3 linked regions of the Coturnix japonica genome follow. The protein of the gene in region 1 purifies or fractionates together with the protein of each later gene. This does not show direct contact. Links are inferred from orthologs where the notes say so. Each region holds a gene or a part of one and is shown in the gene's direction. Other genes may lie near its edges. The genes, in order: RHOU, NCK2 and PAK1.

The links.
Region 2: the proteins of RHOU (region 1) and NCK2 purify together in Homo sapiens (co-immunoprecipitation; 3 studies listed by BioGRID and IntAct, with this or other methods). This does not show direct contact. The link is inferred for Coturnix japonica from reciprocal best matches to the Homo sapiens genes RHOU and NCK2.
Region 3: the proteins of RHOU (region 1) and PAK1 purify together in Homo sapiens (co-immunoprecipitation; 5 studies listed by BioGRID and IntAct, with this or other methods). This does not show direct contact. The link is inferred for Coturnix japonica from reciprocal best matches to the Homo sapiens genes RHOU and PAK1.

What each region holds. Positions count from the first base shown.
Region 1 is NC_029518.1:35,772,194-35,779,155, forward strand, and holds the start of RHOU (rho-related GTP-binding protein RhoU), read left to right. Parts: upstream 1-2,356; 5' UTR 2,357-2,371; coding exon 2,372-2,699; intron 2,700-3,210; coding exon 3,211-3,269; intron 3,270-5,760; coding exon 5,761-6,216; 3' UTR 6,217-6,962. UniProt on the Homo sapiens protein: Binds to and activates protein kinase PAK1. Plays a role in the regulation of cell morphology, cytoskeletal organization and focal adhesion assembly during cell migration. Also stimulates quiescent cells to reenter the cell cycle.
Region 2 is NC_029516.1:122,087,648-122,094,126, forward strand, and holds the end of NCK2 (cytoplasmic protein NCK2), read left to right. Parts: intron 1-1,431; coding exon 1,432-1,626; 3' UTR 1,627-4,817; downstream 4,818-6,479. UniProt on the Homo sapiens protein: Adapter protein which associates with tyrosine-phosphorylated growth factor receptors or their cellular substrates. Maintains low levels of EIF2S1 phosphorylation by promoting its dephosphorylation by PP1.
Region 3 is NC_029516.1:172,808,699-172,815,789, forward strand, and holds the start of PAK1 (serine/threonine-protein kinase PAK 1), read left to right. Parts: upstream 1-2,755; 5' UTR 2,756-2,809; intron 2,810-7,091. UniProt on the Homo sapiens protein: Protein kinase involved in intracellular signaling pathways downstream of integrins and receptor-type kinases that plays an important role in cytoskeleton dynamics, in cell adhesion, migration, proliferation, apoptosis, mitosis, and in vesicle-mediated transport processes.

The sequences.
Region 1 (6,962 bases):
AAGAGGCTCGAAGCAATTCTGCTTTGTTTAGTTTTGTTTTATTTTGCTTACAGGTTGACTTCAACAATCCATTTCTTTGAGTTCATGTTAGTGCCTTCTCAATCTGAACTCTGTTGGAGGGGCAGGGGGAGATTACTGTGTTAATAATGTGTGCTGGTTCCTGAGCCCTTTCCCCAGGTAGTGAAAACTTGCTTGAGGTTTATATCATCAGTGATGAACATGTTCTTTAAAAAAAGCCCCGGCAAATATATATATAATATATATAATATATATTTCCAGCTGTGGGCTTGCTGGAAAAGCAAAGAGTGGGTGCCTGGTGACGGCCCCATGTAGCAGGCTGTACCCTGCCCTGCACCAGCAGCACTGCATCACGTCATACCCACTGCCTTGCTCCGTGTCAGGCTTGTCAAGTTTCTGCAGGAAGGAAAAAAAAAGAGAAAGCTTTCATTCTACAAGGCCAGCACCCCGTTCAGATTCTTTGTATCACAGGGAAAATGATAAGCCAGGATATAACAATGACCTACTTCACGTCTTGATAAAATAATTTCCTCTCTCTGTCATTTTCCTCAAAGAATAGTATTCGACTAACACAAGCACGTATGATAGAGCGGGAGCTGATAACAGATCAGCCCTGGGACAGCCAGCAGCACACTAGTGACCTGCATGGAACTAAGCTTCGTTATCCCACAGCTCAGCTCTGAAAACAGCTGTGTTCCAACCTGCAAGATGGGTGCACACTGTAGATCTGGGCTGACAGCTTCAGGGACAGTGGCTGTCACTCAGAGCATCCTCCATGCAGGATGGCACCACTGTTGGGGTTGCCCCAGCTTGCTGCTATGGTGTGGGTGGGAACCCCCCCTGCATAACAACAGCTTAGATCATCCTCTCATACAAAGGGCTACTGTATCTGGCAGGGCGCATTACAGTATAGCACAGATATGCAGCTCCCAGGCTGCTCCCGCCCTGCCAGTGCAGGAACAATGTGGACAGTTGTAGTCATCTAACCAATACATCAACTGTTTTTGGCCACCGAAGGTGTTCGAAAATGCACACATGGCATTTATCACTTGCAGTGTTTGCAGTGAAGAGCTTTTTCACATCATCCTTCAACACTGTTCAGAATCACATAATTATCAAGGTTGGAAAAGACCTAGAAGATCATCTAGTCCAACCATTACCAATACTTCCTGGCTAAATCATATTCCTCAGCACCACATCCAAGCGTTTCTTGAACACTCCCATGGTCGGTGACTCCACCACCTCCCTGGGCAGTGCATTCCAATGCCTGACTACCCTTTCCGAGAAGTAATACTTCCTAATGTCCAGCCTGAATCTCCCCTGGCGCAGCTTAAAACCATTCCCTCTAGTTCTATCACTGATTACACGAGAGAAGAGGCCAACCCCCAGCTCACTACAACCTCCCTTCAGGAAGTTATAGAGAGCAATAAGGTCTCCCCTGAGCCTCCTCTTCTCCAGGCTGAACAATCCCAGCTCCCTCAGCAGCTCCTCATAAGGCCTGTGCTCCAGACCCCTCATCAGCTTCGTAGCCCTCCTCTGGACGCGTTCCAGGGCCTCAATGTCCAGAGGAGGGCTACAAAGCTGGTTCAAAGTGATGTTCAGCACTTTCCAGCATGGCGTACCACTTCATAGCACCAACAGCGTGCACGGTGTGTGGGACGCTAAGACAAAATACAGCTGGGATGTAATTAGAGTTCAACTCTTCTTCAATCTCTTCAGAGTGGAAGTGAGTTGATAGCCCAGGCTGCAGCTGCGGCTCTGCCCTGCCCAGCACAGCACAGCACACAGCAGGTGCCCTCAGGCACCCCACGAGGGCTGGCAGCAGCATCACTATAACTCAAGGGACGCACCAGGCAGCGGACAGCGGGCGGCCCCGACGGTGCAGGCGGCGCACCCCCTCCGCTCCATCCAATGGTGACTCCCGCCGCCCCTACCGGCAGCCGCAGCCGTCGGGCGGGCGGAGCGGGCGCCGTGGCGCCGCCTGCCGGGCTGGGTCCGGCCGCACCGCGCGGCTCCTCCCCACTCGGCGCTATGTCACGCGGCGGAGCGGGGCTGGAGACTCGGACTTGGTAGCGAGGCGAGCACAGCACAGCACAGCGCAGCACAGCACGGCACGGCCAGCCGGGGTCTCGTCGCCGGCAGCGCTGTAGGAGCCGCTCGCCCTCTCTCCCTCCCCCGGGAAGCGCCCGCTCCACCGGTGCTGGCTTCGCGGCGGCCGCGCCGCTCCTGCCGACCCGCGGCTGCTCCGCACCGCTCTCCCGTCGCCGCCGTCTCCGCTCCCCGCCGCTCCCCGGCCGGCGGCCCCGCGCCGCGCGCCGCCTCCCGGCCGGCGGTACCGCGCGGCGCCGTTCGGATGCCGCCGCAGCAGGAGGGCGAGGCGGGCTACATCAGCAAGCCGGTGCCGGGCGGCTGCGAGGTGCCGCCGGTTCCCCCGCGCAGGGTGCGCAGCGGGCGGGCGGCGGCGGCGCTGGGGGCGGCGCTGGGCGGCCGCTGCCGGGCGGCGGGGAGCGGAGCCGGGACCTCGGCGGGGAGCGGGGCGGGGGCCGGAGCCGAGCCGCGGCGCAGCATCAAGTGCGTGCTGGTGGGAGACGGCGCCGTGGGCAAGACGAGCCTGGTCGTCAGCTACACCACCAACGGGTACCCCGACGAGTACCAGCCCACCGCCCTCGACACCTTCTCAGGTAAGCGGGACCGCGGGGCAGCGGCGGCGTGGTGGGGGGGGGTTGTTCCCGGGGTGCCCGCGGACGGCACGCTACAGCGGAGCGGCTTGAATAGGGAGATAGCAGGGCTGGAGTTTCGTCCCCCTCGAGGGACGCCGGACATGTGTGGTTCTACCCGGCCAGAGGCGGCTGCGGAGGGTGAGGCTCCGCTCCGTGTGCCTTCGGCCCGGCGGGGGCTCTCCGTGCTTGAGAACGTGTAAAAGGATCGCGGAATAAGGCCCCTACAGCAGGGAAAGGCACAGAGCGGGGCTATGAAGCAGAGAGTCCACAGGGCTTCTGCGTGCCTGGTAGCTGGTGCTAGACCCGGCTCCAGCCCTGTGAGCTGTTACATCCAGCCTAAGCGAAAGGAAAGGCTGTGAAGACAGAGACCGTATCTCTCCTTTCCTTTCCTTTTTTTTTTTTTTTTTTCCTAAAGGAAAATGTGCAAGTTGAACTCAACACGCTTTTCTTTCCCCCTCCTGTCTCCCCCTAGCCGTGGTGTCTGTGGATGGCAAGCCGGTGCGACTGCAGCTCTGCGACACAGCCGGGCAGGTCAGTGAAGCCACCAAACCCAGTGACAGCAGGAGGGAAGGGGGGAGGGCCCTGGGGAAGAGGTCACACAAAGCGGCCCCGGTGGTGACCCCGGGGTCTGGAAGGCCACCTGGTATTCCCTGAGAGCAGTTATCACCGCCTTCATTTTCTTAGTTAAATAACCACGGAAATGAGGATTACTTTGTTTGGAGCACAGACGTTTACACGTTCATAGCTGTAGGTATGGAGAGGTGGAACTGTGCTGTTAAAGGGACTTGAGGGAGAAAGAAAATACCATTTGGTGGCATCCGTGGAGACTTCGCGCTTTCAATTCCCATCTACTATGAAGTGCTGTCTCTTCTGAGCTCACCAGCTCCTCGTTTGCCTGACTAGAGCCCCCATCTCTTGTGTTCTCTGCATGTTCTTGGCCTGTGTGTGCCATAAAAACATGCGGTACTGTTTGAGTCCCTTGTAGCTTGAAGTTTTTTTGCTACTTAACTTGTTTCTGAAGGGGATGGGAACTGGATTCGTGATCTGCTTTGTAGATCCAGGTCTATGGCATCCCCAAAGCCACATGGATGAATCTCAGTGGCCTTAGCACACAAACCTAGTTAGGTGCTCTGCAAGCAGGTGCCCTACTTAAGGAAGGACTTTAGAGGGCCGCGCAGTCCTGGTAGCAGTGTAGGGCTTCCGTCTGCCCTACAAACCCAACCTGAAAACCTGCAAGCAGGTTATTACCTGCCTTCTGCAGGTAGTAGCATCAGGTGTCCCTTGGTGTGATGCCAGGGTGGATCCCTGTGTGTGCTCATAAGCAGAGTGTGCAGGTGATGCCACCTGTGCGGTGACAGCCTGTGGGTATAGAGCCCAGGCCAGGTGGTGCCAGCTAGTCTGCTTTCCTTCACTGCTACAGAATGGTTCTGGTGTTGGGCTGTCCAAGTGCCCTGGAACAGGGGGAGTTGTCTGCAGCATTAGTCATCTTGAATAAAATACACCTGGCTGGGTGAGATTGCTGCTGGAATCTGCAGCTGAAAGAGCACTCCAAGCAGAGTGAAATTCCAGCTATTTCAGTGTCGGCAGCCTGAAGAGGTACAGAGCCCTGCAGTCTGTGTACCTGCCATTGAAACCGCAGGAGTGCACTTGGAACATAAAGGGTGCCGTTCCTTCTGGGCAGGAACCCTTAAGATCTGGGTTTGGCTTTCAAGCCCATTGAATCCAGCGCTGCTGAGGTTTCTCACGTTGCAGGAAGAGGCAGTTAGGTGGTGAGATGCCTCGCTGCAAATGGCCCCGTCCTTCAGTGCTGCAGCTCAGTGAGCACAGGGCTCCTCCAGTCAAATGGTGAGAACCCGCACTCCTGTGAGCCTTAATCAGGGAATCAGCAGAGCTAATGAAGCTTGCTGTCTTGACTCTTGTTTTATAAATTGCTGTCTCTCTCGGAGTTGCTGCTGGAAGAAATTCATTCAAGTAGAACGAGACTTGTGAGGCTTCCAGCGAGCTTTAAGCTGCATATCCTGGGCCCTCACGGGCTTTAAAGCAGAATTTCCCATCTTGAAAATGAACACACGACTTGCAATTAAATGCTGGTGTTGGAGAAATGTCTTCAGCCGCGTTTGTTCTCTGCGCTTTAAATTCAGAGCTTTTGAGAACATGTCCATTTTAATTAAAATGTCACTTGGTAGAGGCAAATCCTACCTGCTCAGGCTGCTGGTGTTACCCTGCTTTCATCCTGCTGTCAGCATCAAGGGCTGTGTGCAGTTAGTTAACCCTCTGCTTCTTGCTGCATTCTTTGCTCCTTTATTACCTTCAGGTGCTCGGCTTTCTTGCTGCTACCTCCTGAAGCAGCAGAAGGGCCTTGCTTTGTTGGGAGTTTCCTCTAACAAAAAGAGGAAAGGGGAGAGGAGGGGGGGAAAAAAAAAAAGATAGCACCGGGAGGCCTCTCTGCAGTTTGTTTGATGTGGCATGGGTGGGAGGGAAAGGTAAAGCTCTTATTCCATGCCATTGGCATGTTAAGCCCGTGCATTGTGATTCGCTGTTGCTGCCATCAGGATTTAAATCCCCGGGCACAAAGGCAGGGAAATTATTGCCTCTCCTGTAGGATGTTGTTAAGTAGTGCTGGTTTCAAAATGTTTCCGGCCTGGTGTGTGCTTGCTGCCACTTGTCTGCTGTGCTCTCATCAGGGTATGCAGGCAGGACAGCACCTCGGAGGTCTGTGTACCTTTAACCTCCCATACCTCCCTTTTTAGCTTCATTGCTCTCTGTGGCTCTGCTGGTCCTTTTTCTGGTTTGAAATAGGGCTGATGTAGAAGTAGCAAAGGAAATACATAAACACTTGACGCTGCAGCATTAGGAGAGCTCATCCAGATGGGAGCTTGTGGCTAGGCATGGCTGGGCCTTGGGTTTGCAATTGGGCTCATGTTCTGGTACTGTGGTCTCCCCAGAGGACAAGGGTTGAAGCTGGGGTCGTTTTGCGGCCTACACTGTTTGTCATGTGCTAACACATTGTTGTTCTGTACAGGATGAGTTTGACAAGCTGAGGCCGCTGTGCTACACCAACACAGACATCTTCCTGCTGTGCTTCAGCGTTGTCAGCCCTTCATCCTTCCAGAACGTCAGTGAGAAGTGGGTTCCCGAGATCCGATGTCACTGCCCCAAGGCACCCATCATCCTGGTGGGGACGCAGTCGGACCTCCGGGAGGACGTCAAGGTGCTCATTGAGCTGGACAAGTGCAAGGAGAAGCCAGTCCCAGAGGAGGCCGCAAAGCTCTGTGCTGAGGAAATAAAAGCTGCGTCCTACATCGAGTGCTCGGCTTTGACTCAGAAAAACCTCAAGGAGGTCTTTGATGCGGCCATTGTGGCCGGAATTCAGTACTCAGATACCCAACAGCAACCAAAGAAATCCAAGTGTAGGACTCCAGACAAGATGAAAAACCTCTCCAAATCCTGGTGGAAAAAATACTGCTGTTTTGTATAGAAGTTGCGAGGACCCGAGTGCTGCTCTGAGGAAATCAAATAGAGGCTATATTAGCTGAAATCTCATTCTGTGTTGTCCCAGGTGTATAGCTTAGGTCTGTATGTATGTGTATATGTTGCTACTTGGTATCTCCGTTGCCCTCGTGAGGGTAGCAGAAGGATTTGTAGTTAAATCATGGCTATAAATCAGATCTGGCGTTGAGTTTCGTGACTAAAATCTTTCATTGCGGAAGAAGTGCACCACGTGTCTGTGAAGCTATAAGGATTTGTCCAAAGGATTTGACTTCTTGTCTTACCCTGTGTACCTGATGGGGAGGAACAGACGGGAGCCTTTCGCTGCAAGGGCTGCGCAGGAGGACTGTGGAAATGTAGAGCTGTGTACACGGACGGTTAAAGGGAAAATAACACTGTGCCTCCTAACGGACCTTTCTAGCTTTAAAGAAACCCACTCCTGCTCTCTTCTCCACGTCTTCCCAAACCAACAGTCTTAGGGATCGCTTTAAAATGGGTATGCGAGAGGTGTAATCTAAACGCAAATGCTATGGTTGGAAAGGTCACATATATACCTTCAGCATGCTGTGAGGGAACCTGATATGTTACAGCACTGACATCTCATTTGTCACCTCCCGACTCGAGGGTCATTTCTGTCCTCTTCCCCTCCTGCCCAGGGTGTCACAAGGAAGCTGAGGAGCGTTACTGAGCTCACCGCTTGGGATAGCAGTGGGTTTCTCTCTTTGTGTGGACGTG
Region 2 (6,479 bases), on another chromosome or scaffold:
TGGCTCATACTCAGAGCTTGTGCCCTGAGCTGCTCTGCAGCAAGCCCAGCACCCTGGGATGCATTCAAAGCTGTGCTTGTGCAGACCTGTGCTTCAGCTGCAGATTTGTCATTACCCTTTGATGACCATTCATTAGGGACTAGGAAGAAGATTTCTGCCGAAGCATAGGCTCTGTGCTGGGGCTTCCTGACACAGCTCTGTATGCTGCGGTTATGCAGATCCAGGAGGTTCAGCTAGATCCTGACAGGTCTGGAATTGTTTTTAGCAGCATGGATGGAGTAGGATGGAGAAGGAATAGAAGGTATCAATACTAAAACAGTTAGGTGAGATTCAGGATCACGATTTGGGGCAGCGCAGGATATGGAGGGTATGTGTGGCAGAGACCCACATCTCTCCAGGAGAAGGAAGTGGCTCACTTTGGATAGATACTCTAGTGTGTACCAGGCCCCCAGCACATCTTCCCAAAGCAAAACTGGCGACCGTGTTGACATCGGGAGGTTCCCACTCCCCCACTGTGCTGCAGCTGTGCTGGGACAGAGCTTGCGCATGATATTGTGAACCGAACGCTCCCTCATGGGTTTTGCTTTGTTGGAGTGAGTGCAGTGATCTGGTTCTCAGTGTTGCCAGCTGTGTTTGGTGAAGGATGGGTGGTGGGCTCATGTCCTGCCTGTTCTAACTGCAGCCTTCTCAAAGCAACCACTCACCAAAGACTTGAAGATTTACAAAGTTTTATCATGCAGAATTGCTCTGTTCTGGATAATTTAATTAGTGGTTAAATTTGTCTTTCATGGCTGGTGGCTGATGGTGCAGTTTGTACTATATTTTTGTTCTATAGCTTTATCCTGTTAAGAAAAGGGTGTACGTGGTAGAAGACATCATTTCCTATGCATGTGGTGATGAAGATAAAAAAAAGGCATCTTTTTTTGAATTTTTTTTTCTTTTGCAGTACAAAGCAAGAATGGCCCTCTAGTGGTCACAGCTCAAAAAAATGATAAAAAACAATAATTAAAGAAATGATGCAGGGAGTTTGCTTCGTCTCACCCAAGTATTACTGCAGTAATAGCTTTCTCCAGGGCTCTCGAGCAAAGAAACCAAAATGATGAAAGTTTTCCTGTTCTCCTTGACATTCTTGTGCTTCTGCATGGAGGAACTAAGATAATATTTGCAATTTAGTCATGTAATTGGCAACTTCAGACTATGCATCTGGGGAGCTTCACTTAAATGACTTAACTGTGCACGATGGCAATTATTTATTGAATAATAGACTATTGGGTTTCTTAAGTAGCTGAGGCACTGAGCTGTGGAACAAAGACTAACACAAATTACGCTGTCAGCTGTATTTCAGTTTGTTCTTGAAACCACCATACTGTGCCTTCTTTTTGTTCACTTTTATGTAACTCTTTCTTTTTCTTTTTGAATTATTCCCAACAGCCCAGTGACTTCTCGGTATCTCTAAAAGCATCGGGGAAGAACAAACATTTCAAGGTGCAGCTCGTGGACAATGTCTATTGTATTGGGCAGCGTCGCTTTAATACTATGGATGAGTTGGTGGAACACTACAAAAAGGCACCCATCTTCACCAGTGAACACGGGGAAAAGCTATATCTTGTGAAAGCACTTCAGTGACGATGAAGATGGACTTGGCCACCCAGGCCCCTTCTAACTTCCAAGCCTTAGGTCCTAAAATCACTTTTATAGAGCAGAGCAATATCCGAAGCAGGCTTAAAGAGTAGGCTCTTTCTAACGTGTTTGCTCTGTTGGTTGTTATTTGTCCTTTTTCGTTTGCCTACTTTTGTGTTTCAGTTCTGTTAATCTCAGATCACCTCCCTTCAGGTTGAGAAGTTCACCTCTGTGGCCATTGTAAGCACTCACTTCCATGTCCGAGTTCTAAACTCCCCTCTTCTGTGTACGTTTACATACTTAGCTCGGATAAAGGAGGGGGGTTTGCAATTCAACCCAGTGTTAACCTGTTCAAATTGCTCACGCAGACAGACAGAACTCTTTGTTAAGAGACATCGGGCACAGTTTGAATGCACTGAGGCTGCAGCTAAGTAAGTGAGATATAGTAGACATAACAGTTGTGGCTGTGAGTTCTGTAGCTATATTGCTTACCAGGTAGTATATTACAAAAACTCCTAGTTCCTAGAAGCACTCTTTACACTGTACTCTGCTATTACATTGCCTCTCTGACTCTTTGCAAAGAGTACACTAATTAAAGCGTTTTGTAATAGTACTTCTTAAACTACTATGGTAAGATTGTAGTAAAAGAAAACTATCTAGTGTATTTTGGTCTGTAATTGCAACAAAGAGAAATTTTATTTGAAAGTTGATTACTAAAGAGAGAATCATTGAATTGTAAAGACTGAATGTTCTGGTAATCTACAACCAAATGTGCCATCCACATAATGCTTTTTTCCTCTTGCCCTTCTGCTTGTTTGAATTAAACAATTATGTATTTAATTCTCAAAGTAATATGTATCTGTAGCTGATTGTTGACACTAATACAGAAAATTAATAAAAACTGATCAGGGGACAGGGTGGGGTGGGCTACCAACACTATATATATATTTGCTTTACAGAAAGGAAACTTCAGGTTTTATGGAGGGTGGTGTGATTGGTAGGAAGAGACACACAGAATGTTTATGAAGAAAATGCTTTTTTCTCTTTTCTTTACATTTAAACTCCTTTATGGTTTAAATATACAGACTTTAGATGGCACACTCCTGAGATTGAAGAAGGGATCTTGAGATCTCAAAATCTTGCGTACTCAGTTTTTTGGATATTGTAATAAAAAAGGTATTATGTCATGATGGAGTACTGGGTTTATCCTTGGGTGGTAGTTCTGGCGTGGCTTTAGAAAGGTCAAATAGAGTAAATTCTGAATTTGCCTGTCTTGGAATGTGTGTGGCCTACAAAGAAAATATGTGCCACTGCAGAGTTCAGGTTGATACGAGGCGGTGTCTAATGAGCTCCACATTGATTCTCTCTGTGATTTGTTTATAGCTTTAATGAAAACTGCAAGATGGAGCTCTTTTATGGGACCTTTTTTTGCTATTAAGTCTTCCTTACAGATTTTTGTATTTCAGCCAGTGGTGATACATGCATAACTCCAGTGTAGGCAGAACAAGCACCAGCTGAGGGCTGCTCTGAAAGTAATGTCTCCTATTTATTATTATGAAGTCAGAGGTGGATATTAGTAGGACGGTAGTAGGGGCTGAGCATTCCCACCAACATTCTGTAACATTTTGCTGCTGTGTGACAGATGGCAGCACTCTGATGCAATGATGTCTGACATGAAAGTGTGTATGAAACAAAGGTGTCTAGTTGAATTCCTCCATGCAGAAAAAAATGGCACCCATTGACATTCATCATCATTTGCTGGAACTTAATGGAGACCAGACAGTGGATGTGAGCACAGTGAGGCGGTGGGTGGTGCATTTCAGCAGTGGTGACAGCAACATGAAAGACAAGCCATGTTCTGGATGGCCATGCAGATTTTTATGAGTGTGGCATGCAGGCTCTTGTTCATCGCTGGCAAAAATGCATAGCTGATGGTGATGACTGTTGAAAAAGAGTGTTTTGTAGCTGAGAATTTGTTCTATCAAATAGTGTTATTGTGCTCTTTGTATCTGTGGTAGTTTCGATGGAAGTAAATCGAGGCATTACTTTCAGAGCAACCAACGTACAACTTCATGAGTTATACACATGTTATTCTTCCACAGCTGCTCTTATTTCTGTGAGATTATCTGGATTAGAACTGTGTATGAATTAACAACTGTATGTGGGTAAACAAAAATCGGGCACTGAAACTTCTGCATGGTCCAGCTTTGTGAATAAGGGTAGTTATATAAGACAGACCAGAACAATCACTCTTCTTCATCCTGGCAAGAACATACCCATGGCTAGATTATGGGAGCAGAGAAATTTTCATTATGGAGTTGCTGAGAAGTGCCCCTTGTTTACATCCTTCTTGCCAGGACATCACAGTTGGTTTCTTCTTAACCTTTTAAGTGAGTTCTGCAGAGGCCATAGGGCTTTTGCTGTGTAATATCTAGTTACTCATTTAGCTCAATGTAAGCATGTACCTTGAGTATGACAAAGACATTAAGAAAGCCAACTACATGCTGTGTGTTTTCAGTTCGGAGTGAGTTGCTTTTCAGTCCCATTGCCTCTTTGTAGTGTTTCAAAAAGTGGTACGTGGGAATGTTTTTCAGTAAATCAACAACTACAGTTACTCTTTCATGTTGCCCCATGTTCATTTTTCTGAAACATTCACTGTATTTTGTGTTCCAAGAGTCTTTCTATGCCTCTTGCTGTGCGTTTCCTATTTTGCTTTTCTTTTTTCCACTGAAAGTTCCGAACCCCTTTCTAGTCTTGATAGATTAGAACTAAATCAAATAGACCTCCAAGTGAGATTTTTACCATATGCTCGATATTCTAAGGGATTTACAATCCTTTTATTTTTTTCTTCCACCTCTTGCCTTGTGAACAGCTTCTGAATATAGAGGCGCCAACCACTGGAGTATTTTGTTTGGAAGCAGTAACTAACGTTAATTTATGATCCAGCCTTATGAACAACTAGCTTGAATTATTTTTTTTTGAAACAAGCTTCATCTTGTTTTTGCCCACTCCGTATTTAATCAACATGCAGTCTATTCAGCAGGCTCATTAATAGGTCTTCAGTTGTTCCCAGTCCTTGCTAATTAAGATAGGTTTCTGCAAGTTTTACTGCCTTTTTGACCTCGTTTTCTGGATTGGGCCTTAAGCATTAAAAATTTTCAGTGGTAACAGTTTAATAAAGGATGGTATAACATGGATTTTTGTTTCCTCATTTTATACCTACACTTCCTATCTTTTGACAAAATTATAATCTTTATTTTTTGAGTACTTGAAGCATCTTTGTCGAAACATGGGATTAGGGGGTGTGTTTTGTTGTGAGATTATAGGAATTGTGGTTACCTGAGTTTCTTCTCCTGCAGTTTTCATTAAAGGCTCAAATAATGTCTGATAAAGTGGTGATTTTTCTTAATGATGAAGCCTGGCTTTCCTTATCATACCTGGTTCATAGAGGTGCATCTGTTTAGTTTTGAAGTATTACATTTGTATAGTTGTTGAATATTTTCTTGCCTTGATACAGTTTACATAGAACAGTGAATGAGTTTTCTGACTCTGCTACTAGTTGACAAGATGGTCAAATCCTCTCACTTCTGAACTTGCACATCCTTGTAAGCTGTGCCATTCCTTTCCTAAGGCTTTACTTAGGTTGCTGTTCCTCTTGGTCCTTGATTTTTTGCTGTTCAGTCTTGCAGACTGAAAGGTGTCCAGAAGGGCTGGGAGGAGGTCCTGTCTATCACCAGTGTTTTGTTTTTTGAGAGAAAACTTAGAGGAGTGTTTTGCTACCATTTTTTAGCCACTTCAGAACTGCATATATCTGGGACCTGATACTGTTTGTCAGTGCCTCCACTGCCATGTTGCTGTTACCCATGCTAGTACTTGGCTAAATAAATAAATAAATCGGAGAGCTTTAGGATTTACTCTCTTTTGCAGATGAATGGGCACAAGCTTTTTCTCAGGTCCTAAGCCAGGCAGTTGCTTGCCAGCTCCAAATTAGAAAAAGCGTGAACTTGCAGCACGGTGCTGAGTCTTAAACAGGAAGTCATGCAGAGAAGTACAACAGAAACTGTAAATAAAGTGGTGCAGCTTTCAGCTGATTTAAGGTGCCTGTCAGCAAAATATGACACAGTTTGGTTCCAGATAGCCACAGCTGACCGATTTAGTTTTGAAGGTAGTCACACTAGTTGCAGGCAGATTACTGAAGGATTAAGCTACAAGTAAACAGAGAGCATGCCGGGTAAGCTCGTGTGGTCCTGCTGTGCTGTAAAAGCAAAGGCTTTGCTTTGCCTTTGCTTTTGGGGAAAGTAGAGAAAAGGTGGTTGGGTAATTAACATGAATGTGGAGTGTGTGAATGGACTAAAAGTCATGGTCTTGAATAATTCTGTTTAGTATTCTCTAATCAATTTTCTTTTGTCTTAGAAATTAAGGTGACAGTCTTCAAGTTGACAGCTGTGCTTTCAAGCCTTTACTGTAGCTTTCCTGTAGTGTAAAACTAACTTCCTAATTTAACAGTTTCACTAAGGTATAAGTGAAAGATACCTGTGCTTATAGTGATGAGTTTTGTGATGACAAAGCTGGAATGTTTAAAACCATTTTACAATTTTATCTTATAAGAATGAACCAAATTTTGCCTCAACTACAAACAAAAACAAACATTAAAATATATATTTATCTAGAAAAGGGACCATGCTTCTTTTGGATTCAGTCTGATATTTTGTTTGGCAAAAGCTACTACATAACTGGAACGGCGTTTGTTCCTTCTTGGTCTTAAACAGGTCTGTTCAGTAGCTTGGAAGTAAGGAAACCTGTGCAATCTCCTTGAAATCTGATTAATTCTGTGTTCCTCCTCCAGCAGCATAGGATGA
Region 3 (7,091 bases), on another chromosome or scaffold:
AAAACCCTTAAGGAGAGCCTGAATGATTTGGGATGTAAGTGATCAAGAGTGAATGTAATTCAGAGCCAGGTTTGCCAAAATAGGTCTTATCTCTGTGTTTGGCCCAACTCTGGGCAGTGAAATCTCAGCAAATCAAAAGTTGGCATTTGAATTGGCATAAGCTGTCCAAAGTTTAAACTGCTTCTCTAGGACAGTAAAAAGTCTGCTACTTACATACATTTTGGAGCTCCAAATAGGGTTTTTTGGTGATGGCCACTACACACCATCTAACATCAGAATAGCTAAGGCAGGAACCAGGTGTTTTTGCTTTCTAGCAGACAGATGTTCTGGCCCTTACGTTATTTCACTAGTTGGATTCGCTGACATTGGAATTCCCTTCCCTTCCCTTCCCTTCCCTTTTTCCAATCATTGTCTGACTATTAAGCCTTGTCATTAAGTTTCTCCCTGTTTGTGACAATTCTTCAAGGTATTCTTGATATCTGATTCCTTGTAGGCTGAGGCCAACTTGTCTGTAATTGCTCAGACAGGTTCGAGTGGACAAATGATTGCGGGTGATTAAACTGGTACACCATAGCAAGGTACTATTCCTCAGTCCTGTGACTTCACATGCCCCTATATTCCCTGTGCATCATTTCAGTCAAGGCCTGGGATCCGATCTGGCTGAAAATCTTAGTAAAAATCTTAGGTGGAGAAGTTTGCTGATCCCTCCCAGGTGCACACATTGTCACACTGGCACGCTGCAGGGAGTAGCTAAGGAGCAGAGATGCACAACATGATATGAACCATCAATGCTGGTCTTGCTGATGGAGAATAAACTGTCAGGATGTGCCCCACAATATCTGGGCTCCTCTCTCTGCTCTGCATCTGAAGTATAAACAACTGAACAGTGTTGGTCTTTGAGGCCCGGGCTGGTCTCCCACAGAACTCTTTTATACCCATATTGAAAATGGGAGACCCTTGTGAGGTATAAGGAAACCTTTTCCTACCCAAACTGAAAATGGGCCATCTGAGTTTATCCCGAGTTCAAGGCAAGATGAATCATTTCTATGAAATTCCCCCTGAGCACTTTCTCTGCTCTGAGTACTTACAAGGCAAATAAATGATCTGCATTTCACTCATTCCTTTCTCAAGTACAAAACCTGGTTTGCTGCAGTAGCTCTGTCCCATTCTGACGCTGTGCATCTCAAACAGCTCTTCTGCCATGTGTTTGGGAATCCTCTCTGAAATACAATAGATAGAGAAGTTCTGGGATCTGGATCTATTCCAAACACTGCGTCGTAATCCCAGAATATTCTCAATGTTTCGCAGTGAATATAAAAAGATTTAAGTGAAACGATTTCTGAACCAAGATAACCTGTGCATAGACAAAGTCTTTTTGCTTTACAATGCTTCTAATTAAAGTGCAGTATTCTGGTTGTTCCGTGCTGCTGTGATACAAATATAACAGCAGCCATAGCAGGGGCTGTTGGAGCAATCCATGGGCTGATGGTGGGCCAGGCCTTAGGCCAACCACTGCCAGTAACTTCCCATCACCATTCTCCATATCACTGTCATGGGGTTGGATAAATGTGTTTGGTCAGATATCTTTCAGAGAGGGCACCCTTAGGAGTACTTTGGACCAGTCTCTCACCTGGCTTGTTTTCAAACTTGTTTTCAAAACTATCAGGGTGCATCCTTGTTTCTTAAGAGGTTTTCTTATTCAGAGTACAGAAAGAGTCACTCTTCGGGACTCGGTGTGGGATGGAAAGGGAGCTGTGCTCAGTTCTAACTTCAGCTCTGTGTGCTTCCTTTGCAGCTATGGAATCTGAGCTCAGCTGTGCAGTTTTCCTCGCTGCAGTGATCACGCACGACTCCCACGTACCTGGGGGTTCCCATATCTAGGGGGAAGTAACTGAGCATGTGGTTCAGCAACAGGTTAAGCTGATTGAAATCAGCCCTGCTGCACTCCAACCTTCCCTGCCACTCCTTGTGTTCTCACTTCCTCTATTTGTGTATTTCAGTCGGATTCATTAGCTCCTGAACAAACTTATCAGGGGAACTGATAAACGCTGATACAGGAGGGAAGGGCAAGGCTGTGCAATGCTGTTGTATACGAGCGTGCTGTGACTCTGTAAGATCAGGTCTGATGTGGTGACCTGCATTATTTGCCTCCCATGTATCTACCTGTTCCACTTAGCGTTTGACATCTCTGTCTAGACAGCCTCACCGTTTCCTTTTCCTGAATGCCTGTGATCAAACCCCACCTCTTCTCTCCCAGCAGAGCACAAGCGCGGTGCTGAACACTCCTGCTAACTACGGGGACAAGTTTCCAGCGAGCTTTGCATCGTGGGGGAGGACAAACCCCATCTCTTGCAGTATAAGGTAACATCCCTGCGATACGCACATCCTGCTGTGCAGCACAGCAGCAGGGCAGAGCCAGTTTCCCTTCTTTCCTTTTTTGGATCTGCGAGCCACACGGTCCCTAATGGAGCCGGTTCTGAGATACCGAGAACAGAAACCAAGTCACTACAGCCGGCCATCCCCTCCCCTCGGCCTTATCACCATAATCGCGAACCATCCTTCAGTCCCGCACCAACCCCGTGCTCTATAAGCACCGGGCACCGAACAACCAGCCCATCCCAAAGCTCCAACACAACACACCGGCTCCAAACTTCTCCCCCAACCTTGGGCTGCCCACCTTGGTGGAGGGGGCGGACTCCTGGACCCCTCCGGAGCCAATGATAGCGGGGAGGGTGCGGGGAGGCGGCGCCGGGCGGCCGCGGGGAGCGGGCAGGGCGGAGAGCGGGCGGCACCTTGCAGCGGGCGGAAGGTGAGTGCTGCTGGGCCGGGGATTTCCTCCGCGATCTTTTCTTTTTTCTTTTTGTAACTGGAAAGTTTGTAAAGAGGATGAGCGGCTGGGTTCTTATTTTTCTTCTCTCTTTCTCTCTCTCTTTTTTTTTTTTCCCTTCCCCTTTCCATTCAATTTAAGAAAGAGGTTTGGGGGGGGGGGGGGGGAACGGCATTGAGATCGCCTCCCTCCTGCTTTCCCAGCTCATTCATTTAACAAAGGGTGTTGTCTGTAGCCTCGGGCTGTGCGATCGAAAGCCGCTTGGGGTCTCCGGACGGAGGTTGAGGTGGGGGAGGTCGGGGCTCAGCCCGCACCTTGTGCTGGCTGCGGCTGGAGGGGCTGGGGGGTGAACACAAAGAGTTGAGGAGCCGGCCCATTGCTGGGTAATGCAGCCCCGGGCTTTGTGTGTGGCTGTATCGCAGGGATGCGGACGTGGGAGCGTGTTTCTCCTTTATCCCCCCGTTCCATGTGTGCGTGTATGAGATCTGTTGTTATTCAAGATCTTAAAAGCGAAGCTGAACTTAAGATCGTGGCACGACTCGGATAGGAAGGGACCTCACTAGGTCTACGGTCGAGCCCCTCCGGTTCGGATCGGGGAGCGAACGGCAGCGAGGAGACCTCGCGAGTTGGGTGGCACCTCTGGGTGCTCCTGGGAGCCCGAAGGAAAGGGAGCACAGCAGGGCGGGGGGGAGCAACTCTCGTCCCTTCCACAGTGCTTGGAAACCCGCATCTCTCCCGTGCCTGCAATCCATGCTCTCTTGCTGCTTTTGTTATCCAGAGGGTTTAAAATCCACGATTAGTGGGAAGAGCTGGCTCCATCCGCGTGTGTGTCACGGTGCATCTGCTCCTGCTGGGCATTGCTTGGTTCTTAACTCAGACATTACCTCCAGCAGCAAGATTTATAAATAAATAGATGTCAAGACCTGGCTCTTTGCTTGTTACCAGCTGTAAAGCATGTACTTTAGGTGGTGATTAAGTACACTGTGTGCGTATGTAAGAACAACTGTAGAAGCTGTTTAGTTCTAGCCAAGCTTTTTAAAGTGAAAGCAGACATTGTAGCTGGTGAAATGGCTGTGCTGGGCACGGGAGGGAGAGTGTTTGTTCTCCTTGCTTGCAGTTACTCTTTGTACAGTGACTCACCGGTACCTTTCACTGAACCACCTCCCCATTCTCCTTACCTGGAGTTTTCCTGGTGTTGCCTGGTGCATCAGGGAACATCATCATATCTGCTGCTCTAAGAGCCTTCCTGTTGTGTGGGTGCTTTCGTCTTGCTCATGTATAAGGCTTGAAGAACTCCTCCGTGTGGAACAGCTCATGGTGTGTGTCCACTGGGTGGTTAGACATTACTTTTCCCTCTGTGTTTTCTGTGGATTAGGCAGAAAAAGGGCTATAAGAAAGAAGGGGAGAGACTCTTTAACAGTCTGTGTTGTGATCTCTCAAGGGGAAATGGTTCCAAACTAAAAGAGGGGAGATTTAGATTGGATATAAGGTTGCCCAGAGAGGTGGCGGTGCCCCATCCCTGCAGGCAGTCATGGTCAGGCTGGATGGGCTCTGAGCACCTGGTGGAGCTGTGGGTGCCCCCATGCATTGCAGGGGAGTTGGATCAGATGGCCCTTAGAGAGCCCTTCCAACTCAAATGATCCTATGGTTTTGTGATAAAATATATTGCTTGCCTATTGCTTTTCTGGCTGGTTTGCTTGCACTGGAAATGCAAACTTATTCTTTTGCCCCAGAGATCTGCTGATTTTTGTGGATCCTTTCCCAGTTGTGTGCAGAACTTTGACTGCAAGTGCATGAATTTCACCTGGTTTCTTAAGTGGTTTTGTTTAACTTAAGACACCAGTGAGCTTCAGTGTGGCTTCAGTCTGTTCTGTACCTGTCTCACTTCATAGGTGTGGATAGTTTCATTATTTTGTAACCATAGCTGTGATGGCCCAGTTCCATTACATTCTTCTGGGTGTATTGAAACACCTATAAAAATAGACTTTTCTGGTTAGCAAAACAGAAACGATGCTGAGCTCCACCCTTCGAGTGATCTGGGTTTACAGTCCATCCTGTCAACAGCTCATGATAACAGAAGTAAATAGACTTCGTAAAGGGTCTGAGAAACAACCATGCTTTATGAGGAAGTATAGGAAAACAAACTGAGACCAAGCATCTGTAAACATCAGCCGTCTGTCTTTAAGTCTTGGCCGATTGTTTTCCCTTTGATGCATACAAAAATCTCTCTTGTTGGCTTTTTACCTCTTTGGGAAGGGGAAATACTATGTGTCAGAAATGTATTGTGCCTTTTTCTGTGCTTGCCCAAGAGCTGTGCTTGTGCTTTCAACCTCTGTAAGGAACTGGGAAGAATGTAAATGTGTTTTGCTTGATGGCAAGGGGCTTGATGGCAATATGGACTTGCGCATCTCTCACCTGGGGGGAGGTGCTTTGAAGCCCCATTCCCAGTGGGAGCAGGGCTGGGGCTGGCAGCAGATGCTCAGTGATGCAGCACGTAAGGCACAGAGATCAATTCTTCCCTCCTGAGCAAAAGGCATGTGATGCTCTTTAGGAATAGGTAGCTTGAAACAGCCCAGCACTATTTATGCTAACCAGACTTTTATTCATTAGAATTGAAAAGGCTCTTACAGGACATATAATTTATCATCATTTGGGAGGTAGTGGAGTCACCGTCCCTGAAGGTGTTCAAGAAACGTGTAGATGTTGTACTGAGGGACGTGGTTTAGTGGGTGGTGGTGATGGGTTGGTGGTTGGACTTGGTGATCTTAGTGATCTTTTCCAACCATAATGATTTTGTGATTCCCCAGTAGGTGCTTTAAAATAGGTCAGTGAGTTGCACTATAAAAACGCTGACTGCTCTTTGTGCTCAGGCTGGTCCCCTGGATCTCACTGTTATTGTGTTGTATGTGGAGCAGGTAGCTGAGAGGAGTTCTGCTTCCTCATCTTGATTTGAGGATCCAAGCAGCAGTGTTAACAAATGCACTGGTATTCTTGTATAGCTTTCTCTAGCTCCCTTCATTTTAGCAATTGTTTGCAGGGTGATGCAAAAGGAAACAAAAACAGCTATCTGATGAAGTGCATTTCCAGGTGAATTTGAAGAAACAGTGGAAGTATTCAGGTCTCGTTTATGTACCAATGTACTTCTGGTAAATTATCAAGGCTCTGGAGTAGCTGTTTAAGCTGGCAATCCACATGTCCTTTCTTCCCATCATATAGCAAACGGCGGCCTCTCTGTATCTCTTACATCTTGTCTGAGACACAGGTTAAACAGTAACTGTCCTTCCATGGTTTCCTTCCTTCTTGTAATCTGTGCTCTTTGGACCTGCTGCATAGCGTAAGGGCGAAATAAGCTGGCTGATATAACTCCCTTAAAAATCACTGTTTTTTTCCTACCTCTCTTCTAGAATTACTTAAGTCAGGTGGTGGTAAGTGAGGCATCCTGTTGTCAAGGAGGAGAATATGCTGATGGGATAAAAGAAAGGTCCTATTTTGGGTAAAACAGACCAAATCAGAAGATTGCAGAAGCAGTAATCAAGTGTTCTTTCAGAAAGGAAAGAATTTCTCCCACAATAACACTTTGTGATCCCAGTTAAGGTATAAGAACCATGGCATATGATATACTGATATATATATATATATATGATACACACACACACACACACACACACACATATATATACACATCTGATGTGTAGCTATTAAGATCTTGATCTTGGCCTTCAGCTATGGGGCTAACAGAAATCAAGTGGCAGGTCTGCATTGTGTGAGGCATAAAACCTTGTTTCATCCTCTGTTCTCTTCTTTTTCTATAACGTTAATCCATACATGTAATCGAAATGGAAAATGGAGGATAAAAATAAAAACTACTCATAATTTTTGTGTTTTTAGGGCAGGGAGTGTCATCCAGGTTTACCTAAAGCATTGTCTCCTGCCTAATGTATGTAGTGCCTTTGCACAGTTTACGGGTGAGGTAGAATCATGGCTCTTGTTGACTTTACAAATGGCAGCAGAGAGAAATAAAATCAAATAGAATCATAGTCACAGGCAGTCCTGAGTTGGAAGGGACCCATAAAGATCATCAGGTCCTACTGCTGGATGGAGAAGTTTAGGACACAGTTTTGTTTCCAGAGTTGTAACAGCACCACTTTGGGACTTGGAGTTACTTTCTGTAAGTGTGATTAGGGTTTGAACTGTTGGTTGTCTTAAGTCTATAAGTGGCACACAGGTATTTTGTATGATGGCTCTCTTACAAGGTGGAGCCTGT